Linked DNA regions of Anolis sagrei. The protein of the gene in region 1 purifies or fractionates together with the protein of each later gene. This does not show direct contact. Links are inferred from orthologs where the notes say so. Each region holds a gene or a part of one and is shown on either strand. Other genes may lie near its edges.

What was found. Proteins that work in one complex are often made in the same cells at the same time.
Region 2: the proteins of TOM1 (region 1) and CUEDC1 purify together in Homo sapiens (co-immunoprecipitation; 3 studies listed by BioGRID and IntAct, with this or other methods). This does not show direct contact. The link is inferred for Anolis sagrei from reciprocal best matches to the Homo sapiens genes TOM1 and CUEDC1.

What each region holds. Positions count from the first base shown.
Region 1 is NC_090025.1:167,402,531-167,409,975, forward strand, and holds the start of TOM1 (target of Myb1 membrane trafficking protein), read right to left. Parts: upstream 3,003-7,445; 5' UTR 2,919-3,002; coding exon 2,867-2,918; intron 1-2,866.
Region 2 is NC_090031.1:19,588,262-19,596,214, forward strand, and holds the start of CUEDC1 (CUE domain-containing protein 1), read left to right. Parts: upstream 1-4,936; 5' UTR 4,937-5,118; intron 5,119-7,953.

The DNA of each region.
Region 1 (7,445 bases):
GTTAAATTGGTGGTTCAAATCTGGGGAGCAGGGTGAGCTCTCGCTGTTAACCCCAGCTTCTGCCAACACAGCAGTTTGAAAACATTCAAATATAATTAGATCAATAGTTACCACTCCAGCAGGAAGGTAACAGCGTTCCACGCAGTAATGCCAGCCACATGATCTAGGAGGTGTCTATGGACAACGCCAGCTCTTTGGCTTAGAAATGGAGATGAGCATCACCCCCCAGAGTCTGACATGACTAGACTTAATGTCAAGGGGAAACCTTTACCTTTACCTTGGTGGCTCAAAGTGCACCACCGAACAAGGCAAGAAGCTCTGCCTGTTTAACTAGGGCCCCTTCCGCACAGATGAATAAAATCCCACATTATCTCTTTAACAGATTCTTCTCTGCCAAGGAAACAAAATGTTATTAATTGAAGGTGTGAATGTCTGCCTTGATATTCTGGGTCCTAGGAGGCAAAAAAAAATTGTTGCGACACATGCTACTTCAGCTGCGTCTAAGCTACTGCCTAGTTTGGGTTGAAAACGCAAATATAGGGAAGAAGCTCTCAATTGTAGGGCCTTAGGACACTAGGATTTGGGTTAATTCATGGCTGCCTTCTACACCAAAACCATAACGCCATACAGTATCCAGAGTTTTCCTTATCCACGCTCCAAAAAAAAAAAACAAAAAAAAAACTCCCCTCCTCCAGAGGTCTTTATAGTCCTCCCTATATCTACACTGTAGAATTAATACAATCTGAGACCACTTTGACTGCCGGGATCAATGCTATGGAACCCTGGAAGTAATAGTTTGGTGAGGCACCAGCACCATTTGGAAGAAAAAGTGAAAGATCTCGTAAAACTACAACTCAAAAAATTCCATAGTGTTGAGACATGGCCGTTAAAATGATGTCAAATTATATTAATTACAGATGCACCCGAGGTAATAATGACAGCTCTATACAAGGTACAGTAAAAGCTTCAAAAAGCAAATTAGCACAGACCTTTAGCCTTCTCAGTAAATGGATATAATGAATATAGGCTGTGTATTGCCGAAGGCTTTCATGGCCGGAATCACTGGGTTTCTGTGGGTTTCTCGGGCTGTATGGCCATGTTCCAGAAGCATTCTCTCCTGATGTTTCACCTGCATCTATGGCAGGCATCCGCACAGGTTGTGAAGGAGAATGCTGGTGCTCATGACAGCATCCAATACCTAGAGGTTGAATTCAAAAAGGTCACAACCTCTGAGGATGTTTGCCACAGATGTAGGCGAAATGTCAGGAGAGAATGCTTCTGGAACATGACCATACAGCCTGGAAAGTTCACAGCAACCCAATATAGGCTGTCCTAATGCATACATAATTTGGATATACAGAATGATAGAATCATCGGATAGAATGATAGAATCGGATAGAATAGGCGAAACATCAGGAGAGAATGCTTCTGGAACATGACCATACAGCCTGGAAAGCTCACAGCAACCCAACATAGGCTGTCCTAATGCATACATAATTTGGATACAAAGAATCATAGAGTTGGGAGAGACCTCATGGGCCATCCAGTCCAACCCACTGCCAAGAAGTAGGAAAATTGCATTGAAAGCACCCCCGACAGATGGCCATCCAGCCTCTGTTTAAAAGTTTCCAAAGAAGGAGCCTCCACCACACTCCAGGGCAGAGAGTTCCACTGCTGAATGGATCTCACAGTCAGGAAGTTCATACATATGACTAAAGAGATTTTTTTCCCTTTCTGCTGGAAAACTGCAGACTCCCTTAACCAGTGTTTCTCAACCTGGGGGTCGGGACCCCTGAGTGGGTCATGAAGGGGTGTCAGAGGGGTCACCAAAGACTATTTTCTGATGGTCATGGGGATTCCATATAGGAAGTTTGAGCCAATTTTATCGTTGGTGGAGTTCAGAATGTTCTTTGATTGTAATGAACTATAAATCCCAGCAACTACAACTCCCAAAAGTCAAGGTCTATTTTCCCCAGGTTCCACCAGTGTTCACATTTGTGCATTTTGAGTATTTGTGCCAAGTTTGGTCCAGATCCATTATTGTTTGAGTCCACAGTGCTCTCTGGATGTAGGTGAACTACAACTCCCAAACTCAAGGTCAATACCCACCAAACCCTTCCAGTGTTTTCCGTTGGTCATGGCAGTTCTGTGTGGCAAATTAGGTTCAAATCCATCGCTGGTGGAGTTCAGAATGCTCTTTGATTACAGGTGAACTATAAATCTCAGCAACTACAACTCCCAAATTACAAAATTAATCCTCCCCCGACCCCACTAGCATTTACATGTGGGTGCATAGGGTATTTGTGCCCAGTTTGCTCCAGTGAATGACAATACATCCTGCATATCTGATATTTACATTATGATTTAGAACAATAGTAAAATGACTGTTACGAAGTAGCAACAAAAACAATGTTATGGTTGGGGGTCACCACAACAGGAGGGACTGTATTCAGGGGTCACGGCATTAGGAAGGTTGAGAACCACTGCTCTAAACAAAGTCTGCAGGAGCCCCTTGAGAACAAGTTGGCCATGCCACTCCCACTCCCTCTTAAAAGGGCGCGGCCCCTTTAAATCAGCAAACTTTCCCCTCGGCTCCTCTCAGTCTGCCAGGATTGGCTTAGAAGGGCTACCCACAGATAGCCGCCGCTTCGGAAGCTCCCTATTGATTAGCAGCGAGGTGTCCATCAAAAGGGACTCCGAATTCCCATTGGCTCTCGCGGGCTTAAGACCGCCTTCTCGGAATCATAGCCCCGCCCACTTCCAATTCTCCCTGGTTGAGGGGTGATATCGCAACTGAGAACACAGGCGAGTGGGCTAAAACAAAAGGGGGGGGGGGTTGGGGTCTGGCCAATGTTGGGGAGCTTACCGATGCGCTGCCCGACCGGACTGCTGAAAGGGTTGCCCAATAAGAAGTCCATCGCGCCGCCGACGCTGCTGCCACAGCTTCGGCTGAGAGGTCAGCTGACGCGGGGGCGAGAGGGCGTCACGTGGACTCCTCGGGACCGAGTGGGGGGCGTGGCTTCGGCTCTTAACCCCGCCCCTCCTACATAGTGGCCCCGCCCGTGGCGTCAGCGCTCGCCACGCCCCCTTCCAAGCTGGGCTTAAAGGGCCAGGCTGATGTTCCCGGGGGAAACGGGAATGGCATGTTCCTCGGAAGTTGCTTCACCGTTAGGATGATCGAGGCCCACCCCAGAAGGTGTTTTATGACGGCAGCAATGGATGACCACTCTGGCGTCATCAAGGCTAGTGCTAGCTGCTGGGAAAAGGCTGATTCAGAAGGCACGGGTCTCTCCCAAGAAAGGTTTGCTTGGGATAGAATCAGAGTTGGAAGAGACCTCGTGGGCCCCTGATGTTGGACTTCTTCAGGCTAAACATGTCCAGCTCATTAAGCCGCTCCTCATGGGGCTTGTGCTCTGTCCCAACGGATCTCCCTCTACGCCCCACCTGGGAGTCTAAGATCTTCTGGGGAGGCCCTGCTCTCGACCCCGCCTCTATCACAAGTTAGGCTGGTGGGGACGAGGAGCAGGGCCTTCTCGATAGTGGCCCCCCCACCTGTGGAAATCACTCCCCGGGGAGATTAGATTAGCGACTTCCCTTTTCTCATTCAGAAAAAAATTGAAGACCTGGATGTGGGACCAGGCTTTTGGACATTCTGGCAGCTAAAGGAAAGACCTTGATGATGGGCAGGTATTGACGTAACGGAATGGATTTATGGAACTCTGAACATGAGATTGTTTACTATTGTGTTATGTATTGATGTTTTTAATCTGTTAACTGTTTAATTGCTTTTATGTATTATGTATTTTTGACATAGGCATGGAATTGTGCCTTCTTTTGTAAGCCGCCCTGAGTCCCCCCTTGGGGGTGAGAAGGGCGGGGTATAAGTAGCTAAAAAAAAATTAAATAAATAAATAGACCAGTGGTTCTCAACCTGGGGTCCCCAGATGTTTTTGGCCTTCAACTCCCAGAAATCCTAACAGCTGGTAAACTGGCTGGGATTTCTGGGAGTTGTAAGCCAAAAACATCTGGGGACCCACAGGTTGAGAACCACTGCTCTAGACCCTTTTAGTCATCCTCCTCTGGACAAGAAGCAGGAAAATCGCATTCAAAGCACAGCCACCCAGCCTCACTACTTCTGAGGATGCTTGCCATAGATGCAGGCGAAACGTCAGGAGAGAATGCCTCTAGAACATGGCCATATAGCCCGAAAAAACCTACAACAACCCAGTGATTCCGGCCATGAAAGCCTCCAACAATATATCCAGCCTCTCTTTAAAAGCCTCCAAAGAAGGCGCCTCCACCACACTCTGGGGCAGAGAGTTCCACTGCTGAACAGCTCTCACAGTTAGGAAGTTCTTCCTCATGTTCAGGTGGAATTTCCTTTCCTGTTGTTTGAAGCCATTGTTCTGCATCCTAGTCTCCAGGGCAGCAGAAAACAAGCTTGCTCCCTCCTCCCTATGACTTCCCCTCACATATTTTATTTATATATGGCCCTCATCATGTCTCCTGGAGACCCCGGTGGCGCAATGGGATAAATCCTTGTGCCGGCAAAACTGTAAGACAGGTTGGAGGTTCGAATCCGGGGGGAGCACGGATAAGCTCCCTATGTCAGCTCCAGCTCCCCATGTGGGGACATGAGAGAAGCTTCCTACAAGGATAGTAAAACATCAAAACATCTGGGGCAACATCCTTGCAGATGGCCTTCCGGTTGGCAGTGATCTATTGCTGCTGGCAATTCAGCAGCTGTGTTACAGCCAGGCTCCAGTCTTTCTGGTTTTTGGACCAGCTGACATTTCAGAACACACTTCAAAGGCAGCTTCACAGATAGTGTGCTGCACAGCCTCATCATATTGAGAAGCATAAGCATGGGTGACCGTCCCTTTAAGGGAGGGAATCGCTCCCTTGGTAGTTCTGCCTCCCCATCAGACTCACAAGTGAAAACTTAAAGAGCTGTCAATACATTCATCTTGCATTAATCACAAGGTCAATATGACTTCTTTTTTAAATCAGGAGATACAATAGCATCCAAAAACCAAGAGATCCTTTGACCTGCCCCTTACATTAAAGAATACTGACACCAGTTTAAAACCAGTTCTTTCCATGGGAGCCAATGGTTCTGCCTCAAACCCCAGAGGAGACAAGAGACAGTGCTCCAGGTTAAAACCATTCCTTTCCATGGGATCCTATGGTTCTGCACCAAACCTCATATGATACAACAGACTGCTGACAGTTGGGCAATGAAACAGGATGGGAAACTTTTGATGATTCCCATCCTACCTGTTTTTCAGTTGTAAAGATGGGAGTAAAGTGCTACATGATTACTGGCCCGTGTTCAGAGTTCCCTCCTTTCAGGACATTTCTGCCTCTTTTCAGCCTGGAACATGTGAGGAGATCCATGCCTCTCCATGCTTGAAAAGAGGCTGAAGTGTCCTATCGGGGGAAATTTCTCAACGTGATGAGCTTGATTGCCAGAGTTCCCTCCTTTCAGGACACTTCTGCCTCTATTCAATCAGGAGGACTATGCATGACAGCCAGAAGTAGTTCTATGCTTGAAAAGAGGCTGAAGTGCCCTAGTAAAGGTTTCCCCTAACATTAAGTCTAGTTGTGTCTGACTCGGGGGGTGGTGGTGGTGGTGGTGTTCATCTCCATTTTTACGTCGAAGAGCCAGTGTTGTCTGTAGACACCTCCTAGGTCATGTGGCCAGCATGACTGCATGGAGCGCCATTACCTTCCCACAGAAGCGTTAATTATTGATATACTCATATTTGCATGTATTTAAACTGCTAGGTAAGTATTGAAAAAATGAAAAAAAAATGAAAAAAGAGAAAAAAACCTGCTAGGTTAGCAGAAGCTGGGCCTAACAGCAAGAGCTCACTTGCTCCCCAGAATTTGAACCAACAACCTTTCGGTCAGCCTAGTGGGCCCTACGACTGGGAAATTTCTCAATGTGTCAGTGCCTCTCTATGCTTGAAAAGAGGTGGAAGTGTCCTAACTGGGAAATTTCTCAATGTGATAAGGTGGACAGTTATCCAAACTGGATTATTTTGAAAAAAGCCCAATATGTTTCAGCCTCCCCCATCCCCATATATATTCCAGCTGAAACATGTTGGGACGGATGAATAGCTGGAAGATAGACACACATATAAGAAAATGACATCACTGTCAACTGAGGATTTCTCTCAGACAGTGCCACCACTGTGGTCAAATGTGGGAGTCTTTACACTTTCTCCACCAAATATGAAGTCTTCCAGTGTTTGTTGCTAACAGTGTGATCCCTCCCTCTGCCAACACATAAGGACTTCTGCCTGTCCCCAACTGTGAGATCAGTCTACATGCCCTCAGAGATCCTGAGGATTAATGCTACTTTTATCCCCTATGAGACACCATTCTTCCACCTTCAGTGCTGCTGCCACAAACAATTTATCTGAAACCCAGCCCTCAAGGTTTATTTCAAAGGCCAAAACTTTATTGACAGACCTTTAACATAAAACAGTAGATTATTTGGATAAAATAATCCACCTTCCACAAATCAACATTGAAACCCCTCTCCTTAAAATGAATCAGATCCTTACTAATCACTCAACACATCCACCTTAGTCTCTCAAAGTCCTCTTGGACACATTTCTCTATATACTATTCTCAAACACCAGGCACAAGCTAAGCTCTTCACACTACTCCAACAGGAAAAATACCCCTTCCCAAACCTTCCACAAATCAACATTCACTTCAGCATTCCCAGTCTTCTCCCTCAATGGTGACATACCTCATACTCACACAATAAATCAAACAACCACCTTATATACAGACCCATGTCACCACTGGAGGTTATCTAATTCAGGATCTTGAAATACTGCATTTTGCAGCATCACTCAACTGAGAAATAGCACACATGTTTGTTTTGTCATACTTTGCCAGATATGGACCCAAGTCTCCAGGAAAAAACAAGGATTCTGACTATGATGTTTTTTGAATCTTGATGTGGCCCACTTTTTGCTGTCTCTGCTGTGAGTGGCTACTGATTAAAACCCTGAAGTCTTATGTGAGAATTACACACAAATCCAATTACAATTAATGAGTTTACACAGCAACCGTTCCTGGAGCTCACACCACTTAGCTATAATCTAAAGACAGTAATGAAATGAATGAAACAGATGGTTATGGACTAATAAAAGTACATTCCTACTGAGGAACATAAACAGAAACTATGTAGGTGGACAAAAAAGGACAGGGATGTTGTCATAATGAATGGCAGAGTAACCGGTCTCTGTTCAAATGTTGTAGCTTAATTTTTTTTCACAGAATGGAAACCTGAAACAATTCATGATGCAAGTTTGTTTGTGTTTTTTTTTAAAAAAAGTTTATATACATTAGCAAAACATTTATACAACATGATTTGGACTATGTGGTTAAGAAATAACCAGTATATTTTAAAAAAAGTCCAAAGC
Region 2 (7,953 bases), on another chromosome or scaffold:
GGCGGTGTTGAATTTCGGTGTCAATGTTGACTTTGGTGGAGAGGTGGCTGCCAAGGTAGCGGAAATGGTCAACATTTTCTAATGTTACACCACGAAGCTGTATTTCTGGCATTGGAGAGGGGTTGGCCGGTGACTGCTGGAAGACCACTTTGGTTTTCTCAATGTTCAATGACAGGCCAAGCTTCTCGTATGCTTCTGCAAAGGTGTTTAGAGTGGCTTGTAGGTCTTCTTCTGAATGGGCACAGATGACGTTGTCATCAGCATACTGGAGTTCTATAACAGATGTTGTTGTAACCTTGGTTTTGGCTTTCAGTCTGCTGAGGTTAAATAGCTTGCCATCTGTCCGATAGATTATTTCCACTCTGGTGGGAAGCTTCCCATCAACAAGATGGAGTATTGTAGCGATGAAGATGGAAAATAAGGTTGGGGCAATAACACATCCCTGTTTGACACCTGATTCCACCTGAAATTGGTCACTTTGGGAGAAGCTGGGGCTGACAGGAGGAGCTCATCCTGCTCCCAGGATTCGAACTGCCGACTTTTCGATCTGCAAGATCAGCCATAGGGTAGATTAATGATTAATGTTAGTTATTTTGTGTGTGTGAAGTAATATAGATTGTATCTGTATATACATTTGTGTGTGTGTTTTAAGAAAACTGAAACAATGTCGTTCACAAAGCTCATGCAAAGTGTGTTGTAGGAAAGGAGGGAATATATTTTGCAAATGTTAAGAATACCCAGAGACTTCTGACAGAAGGGATTTCTTTCCATGTATGGATGTAACTTTGCAAAGCGTGCTAATGGATGCTAAAAATACCAGCACAGGCTTTATTAGCTACCGCACTACAATGGCAGAAGTCTCCACTCTCCAACAGCTGGAGAAAAGCTATAGCTGGCTCATACCTGAATGGAGCAGTGGGGAAAATGTAGCGGTGAGATTCCCCCATTGTCAAGAGCCAAGGGGATGCTTTCCATAGAAAAAGGCCCAGGTGCACAACTGAATGGTTGGCAGTTCAAATCTGGGCAGTTCAAGTCTGTCAGCTCCAGCTTCTCATGCGGAAATGAGAGAAGCCTCCCATAGGATGGTAACACATCCGGGTGTTCCCTGGGCAACGTCTCTGCAGAAGGCCAATTCTCCCAGCCCGGGAAACTCACAGCAACACACTCGGTTTCAAGCTTTAGGTGCTCTTACTGCCTATTAAAGGGAAAACCAGCTGATCCCTAATCCATCTAAAACACAGACATGTTTTAGTGGATGAGGGATTGGAGGACATCCAACCCCAAATTGGGAAAGAAGTCATCCAGGAATACCTGGCCGCTCTTAATGAGTTCAAGTCCCCAGGGCCAGATCAACTACACCCCAGAGTATTGAAGGAACTAGCGGAAGTCATTTCGGAACCATTGGCAACCATCTTTGAGAGTTCTTGGAGAACGGGAGAAGTTCCAGCAGATTGAAGGAGGGCCAATGTGGTCCCAACCTTCAAGAAGGGAAAAAAGGACGACCCAAACAACTACCAATGTCCGGTCAGCCTCACGTCGATACCGGGCAAGATTCTGGAAAAGATTGTTAAGGAAGCGGTCTGCAAACACTTAGAAACAAATGCACTCATCGCTAATAGTCAACATGGATTTATCAAAAACAAGTCATGCCAGACTCATCTGATCTCTTTCTTCGATAGAGCTACAAGCTGGGTAGATGCGGGGAATGCCGTGGATGTAGCGTACCTGGATTTCAGTAAGGCCTTCGACAAGGTCCCCCATGACCTTCTGGCAAGGAAACTAGTCCAATGTGGGCTAGGCAAAACTACGGTGAGGTGGATCTGTAATTGGTTAAGTGGACGAACACAGAGAGTGCTCACTAATGCTTCCTCTTCATCTTGGAAAGAAGTGACAAGTGGAGTGCCGCAGGGTTCGATCCTGGGCCCGGTCCTGTTCAACATCTTTATTAATGACTTAGATGAAAGGTTAGAAGGCAGGATCATCAAGTTTGCAGACGACACCAAATTGGGAGGGATAGCCAATAGTCCAGAGGACAGGAGCAGGATTCAAAACGATCTTGACAGATTAGAGAGATAGGCCAAAACTAACAAAATGAAGTTCAACAGTGACAAATGCAAGATACTCCACTTTGGCAGAAAAAATGAAATGCAAAGATACAGAATGGGTGACGCCTGGCTCAAGAGCAGTACGTGTGAAAAAGATCTTGGAGTCATCGTGGACAACATGAGCCAACAATGTGATGTGGTGGCAAAAAAAGCCAATGGGATTTTGGCCTGCATTAAGAGGAGCATAGTGTCTAGATCCAGGGAAGTCAATTCCGCCTTGGTTGGACCACACCTGGAATATTGGTTGGACCACACCCAGCCAGGGGCGGCTCATCCATTATGCGAAGTAAGCGGTCGCAGAACACTTTTTTGCCAGGGGTGCAGAGGTGCCTCTGTAAATGCCCCTCGACCGCCACTTGAGGAGTGCCCCCTCAGCTCACAACAGCCCTAGCAGTCTGGGGGGAGCCTTGGCTTTCTTGTCTCACTGCCGGGCGATCCTCTTCCCAAAGGGGCCGGGCCCTTGGGCCTCGCCTAGCCCCTCTTGTTCCTGCTCCGCCTGGCCACCGGGCGCGCGAGCAGAGCCGATGCTCAATCATTCTCCGCGTTCGATCCCTTCCCCATGACCGGTTCCCTTTCCTGATCCCCCGGCGTTCCACCCGCCTCCTCTCCTCTCCCCAATCCGCAGGTGGGCCAAGGGGTGGAGCCTCCATGCCTGGCCTGCTTCGGGTCTGGAGGCGTGTCTGAAGACCCCAGCGTGCGCACCAAAAGTCGCCTCTTCTCCTGACTTTCTCTTCAGCCATTGGGACCAAGAGAGAGAGAGAGACCCTCCGGCTGGAGGTATCTCCCACCTCCGCTCCCTCCTTTGTTTTTGCACCTACCTTCAGGAAAGGTGGGCATCTCCACCTCTCTCTCTCTCTCTCTCTCTCTTGGTCCCAATGGCTGAGGAGAAAGTCAGGAGAAGAGGTGACTTTTGGTGCACACGCTGGGGTCTTCAGGCACGCCTCCGGACCCAAAGCGGGCCAGGCAAGGGAGCAAGTGCGGCAAGTATAGTTACTGGGATGTATAGTTCACCTACAATCAAAGAGCATTCTGAACTCCACCAATGATGGAATTGAACCAAATATGGCACACAGAACCCGGCGGTGACCAGGGGAGCATTCGCACAGCTTAGGCTCGTGCGCCAGCTGCGCCCGTGCCTTGGGAAGTCTGACTTGGCCACAGTAGTCCATGCTCTGGTTACATCCCGTTTAGACTACTGCAACGCTCTCTGCGTGGGGTTGCCTTTGAAGACGGCCCGGAAGCTTCAATTGGTCCAACGTGCGGCAGCCATGATACTAACAGGAGCGGGACGCAGGGAGCATACAACACCCTTGTTGTACCAGCTCCACTGGCTGCCGATTTCCTACCGGGATCAATTCAAGGTGCTGGCGTTGGCCTATAAAGCCTTAAACGGTTCCGGCCCAAGATACCTATCCGACCGCACCTCGACCTATGAGCCCACCAGGACTTTGAGATTTTCCGGGGAGGCCCTGCTCTCGATCCCGCCTGCTTCACAAACACGGCTGGCGGGGACGAGAGATAGGGCCTTCTCGGTGGTGGCTCCTCGGCTGCAGAACACCCTTCCTGTGGACATTATACTGGCTCCATCCTTGATGATATTCCGCAGAAAATTAAAGACTTGGTTGTTCAAGAAGGCGTTTGAACAAGAAGTGCAATGATTGGTAATGATAATAGGAATGGAACAACGGAAAATGATACTGGATTGTGATTAGGACTATGAGACGACGCTGAATGGCTTTCGTAGTAACGACGATGTTTTGTATAATGCTGGATTGTGAATTGTGTTTTTTATACTGTGTCTTGAATTTTGTTCTTGCTATGTTGTACACCGCTGTGAGTCGCCCCCGGGCTGAGAACAGCGGTATAGAAGCAAAGTAAATAAATAAATAAATAAACTCCCACGATGAATAGAAAATATATATCAATGATTGGTTGTGGGGGGGGGGGGGGCGCCAAAATACTGTTTGCTTACTGTAGAAAATTACCTAGGGTCACCTCTGTAGAATCACAGAATTATAGAGTTGGAAGAGACCTCATGGGCCATCCAGTCCAAACCCATTCTGCCAAGAAGCAGGAATATTGCATTTAGATCACCCCTGACAGATGGCCATCCAGCCTCTGTTTAAAAGCTTCCAAAGAAGGAGCCTCCACCACACTCCGGGGCAGAGAGTTCCAATGCTGAACAGCTCTCACAGTCAGGAAGTTCTTCCTCATGTTCAGATGGAATCTCCTCTCTTGTAGTTTGAAGCCATTGTTCCGCGTCCTAGTCTCCAAGGAAGCAGAAAACAAGCTTGCTCCCTCCTCCCTGTGGCTTCCTCTCACATATTTATACATGGCTATCATATCTCCTCTCAGCCTTCTCTTCTTCAGGCTAAACATGCTCAGTTCCTTAAGCCGCTCCTCATAGGGCTTGTTCTCCAGACCCTTGATCATTTTAGTCGCCCTCCTCTGGACACATTCCAGCTTGTCAATATCCCTCTTGAATTGTGATGCCCAGAATTGGACACAGTATTCCAGATGTGGTCTAACCAAAGCAGAATAGAGGGGTAGCATTACTTCCTTAGATCTAGACACTAGGCTCCTATTGATGCAGGCCAAAATCTTCTTCTACTTCCATGCATTGCTTATTTAGAAATAGTTCCTTATCTCTTCTGGCTAACCTCTGGAATTGCGCATGTAACTGGGCATATCTCCCCTTTTCACTGTTTCCTTTTGCTTTCCTCCTTCCAACTCTAGGATTCTCTGATTCGATGCCACTGGTGGCCCATAGCCTTCCTTCCTTCCTGTAGGGAGGGGTGTGTTCCAGGTGCAGTTCAAGGGATTGGCCACTAGGGCTGTGCTTTGAGAAGGGAAGGGGAAGGGGAAGGAAGGGGGAGAAGAGCAGGAGCAGAGCCTGGAGCCCAGATCCTGCCTGGCCTCAGCCCTTCTCCGCCTTGGAGGGTTTGCGCTGGATCCCTGAGAAAGTGGGCTCTTCCAGCACCCCCTCAAAGGAGAGACAGCACCCCGAAAGGAGGTAAAGAAGGGCGAGGGAGGAAAGGGAAAAGGGAGGAAGCATGCCAGGGCGGGCGGGTCTTCCTCGCAGAGCCATCTGCAAGCCTTTCTCTCCTCCAAAGAGATCAGCCTCTAAGCCTTGTGTTATCTTCTACCCGCCTCGGGTTAAGCGTTGGATCTGGGGATTTGTTTGTTTTGATTTGGGGGTGGGGGTGGGGGTGGGGGGGGTGCCCCGAATTATTTCACCTTATCCGCTTCCCTTTGTGTGGCTTCCTACGTCCTCCCCCCCCCTTCCTCTCTCCTTGGTTGTTTTCCAAGGCGCCTGTTGGCTTCCCTTTCCTCTTTGGAAGCAGTGGGGAGGACCCCCTTCATTCCCAGCACCCCACATAACTGCTCTGGTGGGATATTCAAGGGGAGAGGGGCGTGTGGAGGGGAGAAAGGTAGGTGGAGGTGGGCTCTTTCTTGGATCCCTCTGGGATCACACATTCCCTGAACCTTTCCACTGGGAGGGAAGGCAAGCAGGACTTCCCCTTCCCTCCTCCTCCTCTTCCTCCTCCTCCAGTTGGGAAGCCATGCTTAGTAAATAGGGGGAAAATGTGATTAATTATCCGTCAAAGTATTTATTGTGTATTTATTCTAGCTCCAGCAGACAAGAGTTCTTTCTCCCACCCTGGTCATTCCACAGATATATAAACCCACTTTCCTACTTCCAGCAGACCTCACTACCTCTGAGGATGCTTGCCATAGGTGCAGGCGAAACGTCAGGAGAGAATGCCTCTAGAACATGGCCATATAGCCTGAAAAAACCTACAACAACCCACAATTTATTGTGTTGTCGAAGGCTTTTGTGGCAAGGATCACTGGGTTGCGGTGAGCTTTCCAGGCTGTCTTGCCATGTTCCAGAAGCATTCTCTCCTGACGTTTCGCACACCTCTATGGCAGGCATCCTCAGAGGTTGTGAGGTCAGATGGAAACGAGGCAAGGGAAGTTTAGATGTCCAGGGTGGGAAAAAGAACACTTATCTGTTGGAGGCAAGTGGGAATGTTGTAATCAGTCAACTTGATTGGCACTGAATAGCCTTGCAGCTTCAAAGCCTGGCTGCTTCCAGCCTGGGAGAATCCTTTGTAGGGAGATGGGAGAAAGAACTCTTTTGTCTGTTTGAGGCAAGTGGGAATGTTGCAGTGGGCCGCCTTGATTAGCACTGAATAGCCTTGCAGCTTCAAAGCCTGGCTGCTTCCTGCCTGGGACAATCCTTTGTAGGGAGATGGGAGAAAGAACTCTTGTCTGTTCGAGGCAAGTGGGAATGTTGCAGTTGATCACCTTGATTAGCACTGAATAGCCTTGCAGCTTCAAAGCCTGGCTGCTTCTTGCCGGGGGAAATTCTTTGTTGGGAGGTGGGAGAAAGAACTCTTGTCTGTTTAGGCAAGTGGGAATGTTGCAGTTGATCACCATGATTAGCACTGAATATCCTTGCAGCTGGAGGAATCCTTTGTTGGGAGGTGGGAGACAGAACTCTTGTCTGTAAAGCTTTCATGGCCGGAATCACCGGGTTGTTGTAAGTTTTTCGGGCTGTATGGCCATGTTCCAGAAGCGTTCTCTCCTGATGCTTCGCCTGCATCTATAGCAGTCATCCTTACAACCTCTGAGGATGCCTGCCATAGATGCAGGCAAAATGTCAGGAGAGAATGCTTCTGGAACATGGCCATACAGCCTGAAAATTTACAACCCAGAACTCTTTTGGGGCAAGTGGGAATGTTGTAATTGATCACCTTGATTAGCATTGTATAGCCTTCCAGCTTCAAAGCCTGGCTGCTTCCTGCCTGTGGGAATCCTTTGTTGGGAGGTGGGAGAAAGAACTCTTGTCTGTAAAACTTTCATGGCTGGAATCACCGGGTTGTTATAAGTTTTTTGGGCTGTATGGCCATGTTCCAGAAGCATTCTCTCCTGATGTTTCACCTGCATCTGTAGCAGGCATCCTTATAGGTTGTGAGGATCTCACAACCTCTGAGGATGCCTGCCATAGATGCAGGCGAAATGTCAGGAGAGAATGCTTCTGGAACATGGCCATACAGCCTGAAAAATTGACAATCCAGAACTCTTTTGGGGCAAGTGGGAATGTTGTAATTGATCACCTTGATTAGCATTGTATAGCCTTGCAGCTTCAAAGCCTGGCCGCTTTCTGCCTGGGGGAATCCTTTGTTGGGAGGTGGGAGAATGAACTCTTGTCTGTTTGAGGCAAGTAGAATGTTGCAATTGATCACCATGGTTAGCATTGAATAGTCTTGAAGCCTGGAGAGTCGTGAAGGATCATCAAAGGCCATCAGGAAGCACAATATTTTATGTTGGTCATGGGGGTTCTCTGTGGGAAGTTTGGCCCAATTCCATCATTGGTAGAGTTCAGGATGTTCTTTGTTGTAGATGAACTATAAATCCCAGCAAACTACAACTCCCAAATGTCAAGGTGTATTTCCCCCAAACCCCACCAGTGTTCACATTTGGGCATCTTGAGTATTTGTGCCAAGATGGGGCAGATCCATCATTGTTTGAATCCACAGTGCTCTCTGGATGGAAGTGAACTACAATTCCCAAACTCAAGGTCAATGCCCACCAAACCCATCCAGTATTTTCTGTTGATCATGGGAGTTCTGAGCCCCTGGTGGCTCAGTGGGTTAAACCCCTGTGTCGGCAGGACTGAAGACCAACAGGTCGCAGGTTCGAATCCGGGGAGAGGTGGATGAGCTCCCTCTGTCAGCTCCAGCTCCCCAAGCGGGGACATGAGATAAGCCTCCCACAAGGATGATAAAAACATCAAATCATCCGGGTGTCCCCTGGGCACCGTCCTTGCAGACGGCCAATT